Coturnix japonica: one gene and its partner. The protein of the gene in region 1 purifies or fractionates together with the protein of each later gene. This does not show direct contact. Links are inferred from orthologs where the notes say so. Each region holds a gene or a part of one and is shown on either strand. Other genes may lie near its edges. The genes, in order: ETV6 and LRP6.

Evidence for each region.
Region 2: the proteins of ETV6 (region 1) and LRP6 purify together in Homo sapiens (affinity purification with mass spectrometry; 3 studies listed by BioGRID and IntAct, counting the BioPlex papers as one, with this or other methods). This does not show direct contact. The link is inferred for Coturnix japonica from reciprocal best matches to the Homo sapiens genes ETV6 and LRP6.

What each region holds. Positions count from the first base shown.
Region 1 is NC_029516.1:65,808,933-65,812,752, reverse strand, and holds part of ETV6 (transcription factor ETV6), read right to left. Parts: intron 2,840-3,820; coding exon 2,675-2,839; intron 1-2,674. UniProt on the Homo sapiens protein: Transcriptional repressor; binds to the DNA sequence 5'-CCGGAAGT-3'. Plays a role in hematopoiesis and malignant transformation.
Region 2 is NC_029516.1:65,918,034-65,921,853, forward strand, and holds part of LRP6 (low-density lipoprotein receptor-related protein 6), read right to left. Parts: intron 3,268-3,820; coding exon 3,031-3,267; intron 1,622-3,030; coding exon 1,511-1,621; intron 1-1,510. UniProt on the Homo sapiens protein: Component of the Wnt-Fzd-LRP5-LRP6 complex that triggers beta-catenin signaling through inducing aggregation of receptor-ligand complexes into ribosome-sized signalosomes.

The DNA of each region.
Region 1 (3,820 bases):
TTCCTCACTTTTTCCTCCCAGTCCATGTTACCAGAATTGTTATATCCTTCCTCGGTGGAACACGTCACTTCAGTGACCACTGCAGATCAATATAAACTGCTTATTTTGTGTCTTCTTATGTATTTCATCTTGTACTGATGCCTTTCCTCCAAAATCTGCATTAAACATTTACATACTTACATGTTTTGTGTGATGTAACTTGCTAGACATTTCAAAGTAAAAAGGCACAATACAGGGCACAAAGTCTCCCAGCTTCTAATTTTGTTTCCTTTCTCCAGGGTGTCTTACCTCATAATACAGAGGAACAAGTTACAGCAGTAGTATCTGAAAAGGAACTTAACAGTTTCATCTGGGAAACCCTGGATTTTCCAGGAGAGTTTTCTCAAGTGTGTGTGGGGTTAACAGTTGCTCCTATGAGACTGAAAGCTGTGTGCCATTCAGCTGCTGTCTCTATAATGTTCTACTTGCAGTGAAGTTTATTGTCTTAGTATGAAACGGTTAAAGCTATCCTGCTTTCCACAGTTCAACTTCCTTTATTTTTAGCATCTCAGCTGCTTTCACTGTCTCAGTAGTGACTTCAGGGCATTTTAAAGAAGTGTCTGCAATACCTGAAAATCTAATTACAAACAAAGCCTCAAGAACTCAGTTACCTTTTCCATGTTGAGTACATGAAAGTCTTTTACCTCATAATTTGCATCTTTGAATGCAATAGTGGCATAACCATAACTAGTACTATAACACTCCAAGCAATAACTTTTCTTTTTTCACCTAACAAAGTATTTAAACTTCTGCATCACAAAGACACAGCTGTATTAGTTACAAGAACAAAAGTCTCCTCACTCTCTCTCTCCTCTGCTCTCTTCCCGAGCCAGTGCTAGATCAGAGTATAGCTGGTGGCTGTGTACCCATTTTATTGGTACAGTCACTGGGAGGAGAGGATGCTATTCTACTGGTTTAACCAGGAGTAGAAAGGATAGAGCCTTTATATATCAACACTCTATGAAAAACTTAAGCTCTATAGCAAATATTATTTTACAGTTCTTATGTTTCACGTGTATTTTATTACTGGGAAACACTGAGGTATATTTTACCTATAGTAATTTAGGCTGACTGAGCTATCCTCTAAAATGTTTATTATTGGTGAGGAATAATACCTGGAGAAAAAGAGGAGAGAAAGAGCTGGGACAGAGGCCATTCTAACCCAAGTTTAGGTAAACAAGAGTTTAACCTTCTGCACAGTGTGGATTTGCAAGCCAGAGGCTCTTCTCTGAGAACGCTCTATCTCCAGCCAACAAACATTTTAATCCTACTCATTTCAAGTGCCCTCACAGCACATAAAGGGAAGAGTAGAGAAATAACTGGTAGGCAGCAAGGCACTGGTATGATAAGGGGAATAACAAACAAGTTACATAGAGTTGTCCTTTACAGTCCTTGCCCACTTTCAGTACTTCTTTTGCCTTAAAACTGGGTTAATTTTTGCAATGAAATCGCTCAAAATGAGTACCAAAAAAACCCACCAAAGGATGTTTCCAGGCATCAGTTTTCACTACTGTATTATACTAGCAATAGACACAGATGTCTGGCAATTCCTTTTATAAAAATTATTCTTGGTTTAAAGTACATGCTTTGAAAAGTGTGTATAGAAGAAATATAAACCATAGTATGAGAGGCAGATTCTGCAGGAGGATGGTTGGGTGCATTCAAGGGAGTCACAAAGGAACTAGAAGCAGAATTAGTGCCATTCCTTTTTTATCAGCCTGAGCCAAACTGCACCAGCTGCGCTTCTGCACTGAGCGAATCTTATGCTGCAAGCCTGGTAACAGCAGTTCTGTAACCACTTGGTGCAAACTCTTTGATCATCTATAGTGATTGAGTAAATGTTTATATTTAACAGAGGTACCACGTATGGTCATAAAAAGAAAGCTCACAACTCTTATATAGAACCAATAACTCATATTTAGTTAAACATCTCTGACAAAGGAGGGCAGAGGCTTACTCTGACTGGGATACCATAGCAGAAAGACTGCAGGGGATCTAAGTACAGGAAGACCACATATGTATTTCTAAATCACTTGTGTGAATAAATGAAGACATAATTTGAACAACAGGCCAACTGATTCACACCTATCTGTGTTGTACTTTGGGCCAGCCTCCAGCACGTGAGAGAGTATGATAAAGTAAAGTAAAGCCCACAAGGGCTGTAAAATAGAGGAAAGGTCCCCCATGGATGAATTTTGCAGTCACTCTTAGAAGCATGTCAGCCAAGCCAGCTGTGAGACAGAATGCTAATGTCAGCTTCTTAAGAGGCTCGAGCACTTGATTAACTTGCTGCTGTTGTTGGGTCTGCAAAAAGATAAGTCTTTATGGGGAAGAGCTGGAAGCCATGAAATGCTGCCAAAGAAGCCCACTTTCTGTGGGTTCTGCAAAGAGTTTTAATGAGAGACAGGTTGCATTTTTGGGTGTGGAGTTGCACCCAAATTTACTTACAACTCAGGGGTAACTAGATTTCTCTTCCCTCTTGTCTTTTCTGTCTTTGTCTCATATAAGAGTTTCTGTCCCTTCTCTGCTCCACTGCCCAGCCCACCCTAACAAGCATGATTCTGTATCCTCTTTTGTCCCTCTTGTTGCAGTTTCTTCTCTTCTTTCAACTGTAGCTTCCATAAGAATTCCTCACCTGAATGAGGCGATCTGTATCGAAAGTCCTCTTTGGTCAGGAGCAACAGAGCCTTGCCATTCATTTCAAAGGTGTTGCTCTCAATCGGCCTCAGGGAAAACTCCTTCTCCGCCCACCTGAGCCACTGTGCGACATCCTCCCTGCTCCAGTAAATGGGCTGCAAACCTGTACCAGGAAAAGACCAAGACTGCGTTACAAAATTAGACAAGGTATGTGAATATAGGCAAATATCATAGAATCTCCATTTCTCCCCACACCGTAACATGCAAAGTCTCCAGGCAAGGTGTGGTAGAGAGATGTCAGGATCACACTAAGCATTGGGCTGTGCAACACTTCATTAGTTTAGGTATCTCAGTTTATTTTGGACATTCTGAAAAACAAGATGCCTCAACATCCCTTCTAGGATATTATTTCATTCCAGGCTTCCACTGTGGGATGGGGTTGACCCCCAGCTGCTCCTTCCAAGGCTCAGAGCAGGCAGGAGATGAAGCTGCTGGCCCCATCCATGCTCACTGTGCACCCTCTCACAGAAGCAGGGAATGCCCTCTCTACATGCCCCTTCCAGCCACCTTTACTTGGCCCTGGGAGGTGTGACAATTCAGTATCTGTTCTACAGATGAATTTAAAACAGCTTCCTTCCCCTGGAGAGAAGGCAGCATGGTGAAGAATTGTTTATACCTAGGTAGGCAGATTATCTCCAGTCTGCTGGGAGATAAAAGCTTTCTTTCCTTTTCCCCCTTGTGGGATGACTCATTGTTTGACTTGTTACAATGTGTTGTGTAGAAATGAAAGCTTCACGCTGGGCAGAGGAACGTGAAATTTGCCGTATCTGATGAGATCTCTGGTACACAGCCTCTGGCAGGAGCTAATACCTTATGCTTCAGAGGAAGACGAACCTCCCTTCCTCATCTTGCACCTGGCTGATTGTATGCCGCACATGGGAAGAAATTTCCTTCCTGGCACACCACTCTATGAGATCTGATTACCCTTGTCTTACCAAGTCAGAAAAGAAACCCAGGAGATTTGTACTGTTTTGTTTTGCTTTTTTTTTTCACTTCTGCACACAGGCAACCTTGTTTTCTGTTTCAGCAAGAGGTCACACGCAGTGAATTGCATTCTGCTGCCACACCAGATTCCCAGGCAGCG
Region 2 (3,820 bases), about 110 kb from region 1:
CTAGAAGGGAAAAGTAAAATTATACTGTAGTGACTTATGGAATCAAACTCTATAACCACAACCTCTTTTCACTCTTCAGTAGATGCTAATGAAACAGCTTCATATATCAACATCAGTCTTCATGATATCATTGAACAGCCTCCACTTCCATAAGCAGATATCAGCTTTCAAATGAATTTACTTTAGGAATAAACATACACATGAACAGGTCTGTTTAAAGACACTTGGAAGCCAACAGGGCCACCTGTGCATGCAAACAGTTCCGAGTGTGCAGAGGTTTTAGAATAAGATGCCGGGAGGTGAATAAATACACCCATATGCAGGCATGCTTGTGAACCAGGTCCTGAGCTTGCTACCAGCTGAAAGACAGGGCTACCATTTGAGCTAGGTGAACAAGACCTGCAGCCAGGACTTCATTTGCACTGTGCTACCGCTAACAACAGTGACCACTACTTGTGCTATACTTTGTCACACAATACCTGGGTTATCAGTCTGCTTAACAGACTGGCGCACTCTGTTCTGAACTGTGTAACATTCAGTTATGCTGAACAGTAGAGATGATGCATCAGTAATGAATTTTGGCTTTGCTGCTATTTATTAAATTACCTAACCCGCTCTACATCTGTCCCACACTAAATGTACCAGATACATCTTCACATCCACTTTAGAAGTGCCATTCTGTAAGGAATCTGTATCCAAAGTAATTTTTCAACAGCTAAAATGATCAGCTTTCCCTACAGTACCAGTTCTAACCAATGACACTTAAGGAAATAAATGACAAATCCCTGCCTATGCTTAATGAATGAAAAAAATAATGACATATGTCTGTGATAAAGTTGCTAATAACTTTCTAACATGATAGCACATCTCTTATTACTACTTAAGATCAAGTCTTTGCATTTTCAAGTCACATGTCACCTGTGATATTCAGACCTCCAACACAAGAAAAGATGTCACCTATTTACAATTTCTTTCAAAACACCAACAATGAAAACGAACTTTCAAGTTGGAATTTTAAAGGCAGCATTTTTCTTGCAGAATCCTGGAGATTTCAAGGTAGGAAAATTGCATTTTTTTTCAAGATGAAAAGGAAATGTTAGAAGGCTTATTCTGTAAGCAGAGTGCTGATCTGATTTTAAAAGCACCTGCTATTAATCTTTGTATGGGAAAACCATGAAGCAAAACAGTTTTATATAAGAGCCTCACACTGATAGAAAAAGATAGAAAATCTTTTTATCAGATAGATAGAAAAAGCATACAAACATATTATTAGTAAAAGAAGCCTCTGATTTATTTTATAACTTTAGAGAGGTATGTGGAAAATTTAATCAGTCTGTTCTGCCTCAGAGAGGACTAATTCAAAATACAAGTTACATCTGATTCCTGTCCTACAGCACCTAGTTATTAATTGTATAACAACATCTGTTCAGGGTACAGTTCAGATTAAAATTAACTCCTTGAGAAGGTAAGAGAAAAATTCAGATAATCAAGTCTTGGGTTTTGTACTTACAGCATCCTTGCTCATCTGAGCTGTCACTACAGTCCAGGTTGTGATCACATTTCTTGCTTTTACCAATGCACTGCCCGCTGGCACACCGGAACTGATTGGTTAAACAAAGCACTGGGAAGAAAACCACCCCACAAACCAAGAGTCAGTATCAAAGGCTTCTGCTCTTTAAAGTGATTAAGGAAAGTAGATACTAAGGCATACAATCAGGAATATCAGATACAGAAGGCCACTGAGGACACAGGTACTTATCATAGGACATGATGGTGGCAAAACTGCTTTCCGAATCCCCAACTCTAAACACATACTATAACACAAGCAAGAATAATTAAGTTATTAAAAATAAATCTGCCAAACCACAATGTTAAAACTGTTTAAGAAAGATAAATGTGGTTTCTCAATGCCCTTGTGCACATCTTGTAAAATAGAAGACTCCTTGATCATATGACAATACATTTCACTTGACATTATGTTTTAAAACTGAAATGAAAGACAGAAGACAAATCTGGATCTTTGCCATTACACTCAAAAAATAAACTACTTCTCTGGGAAAAAAAGGTGCTTCAGGCAAGGTACTGGCTGCTGCTGTTTACACACAGTTTTGCCCACTGTTTCACATAAATTTTAAATTCTTTCTGATTTCAGCTCAATTAAGAAGCAAAACTACAGGCTTCTCTGATCTGCACTCAACCTGTACACACTGAATAACAGGGACATTTTGAAGATGATAAACAGCCTCTGTTCCAATATCTCTAGTCACTGGATGGTAACTGGGAAACTAACCTGCACAAAGCATTTTCAGATGTCAGCAAGCATCTGGCTAAAAATCATCCTTCATCACAGAGGAATCTGCTTGTATATTTTCGTTTGAGCTGGAGCATATCTTTTGGAAAGAAATTCAGCCTTGATTCAAAGACTCTTAGACAGCCTCTTCAAAGAAACTTTACTGAAAGAATATATGGAAGAGGCACCCTTTCAAGCTTACAAGTTGTCCCAACAATTCCTCACTACTTGTGCAGAGAGGATAAGAAGGTCAAGTAATCTAATGGATCATTTGGTATAGTACTAGGGTAGTTCAGACTCCTTCAGCAAAACCTCCCCTTCCAAAATGGCAACAAAAAAATCCCTAATGCTCACTGTGTTGGTAATAGCACTTAGCATATAGATTAACTGCTCTCTTTTACTGTACTCTATAGTAAGAGGACATCTCCAGGAATCGCATCTGTCTCTCACTCCCACTTACAGAAAGACGTTTACTCCAAAGCTACCAGGTTTCAGAGCTTGAGACATACCATTTTTTAAGAGTACTTTTCACAAACAAAGCTTAAGCCACTGTGCAGGACATGAGCAGGTATAAAAACAGAGGAATGGAGCTGTGAAATAATTTTCCACTCAATAAACCTGTGACATAGCAGCAGAAATTCAAATCCTTTAGAATTCTGCATTCCACAATAACTTTGGTATCTTTCATAGCATCCCCTGTACAGCTTTGTTTCTATTGTACTTTGAAAGATCCTCTGTACCTTCACAGTTCTTCTCATCTGAGTTGTCTTGGCAATTTGCTTCTCCATTGCACCGGAGGGCACTGTCTATGCACTGTCCGCTTTCACACTGAAACTGAGTGTCTGAGCACACTGGGCAGTTTTTTTCATCGCTGTGGTCTTCACATTCAGTGAAACCATCGCAGCGCCAGGCCACCGGGATGCAGTCAATCTCACCTGTGAAACAGGTGAATTGCTGAGGGGAGCATGTTGGAGGTTCTTTAAAAATCAAGCAAACAAACAAAAAGTAAAAATTCGGGTGAACAATCAGCAGATCACAACAGTTAAGGACAAGAATAACTCAGCTGCTTTGACATCAAGAAGCTGGTAAACACACAGCATCACAAGGTAATTTCTACCCCCTCTGCCTCTAAAATCATTTGAGCTGGTCTCGAGCCTCACGTGACAGATGCAAGTTCATGTCAATGGAGTCTCATCAGACAAAGAAGAGGAACAGAGAAACACGAACACTCAAAACACAGTTCTTTTCTTCCCACTTCAGCCTCTTAGATCCTTCTGCATAGATCTTCAAAAGTCTTGTTTTAAGTCTACATACTTTTCCTTTACTCGCCCTTTCCTGCAGCACCACTGCATACACAGTTGATTGTTCACTTTCTTAATGCTCAACAGTCATTGTATAGAAAACACTAAGAGGATGTAATGTGCTGCAGATGGATGTGCTGTGACTCAGTGTCTAGTTATGTGCCCTCGACAGTTCTGTCGAGTCAAAATTCTCCTAAAATGACAAAAAACTGCTCCATCTAGTTGTCTC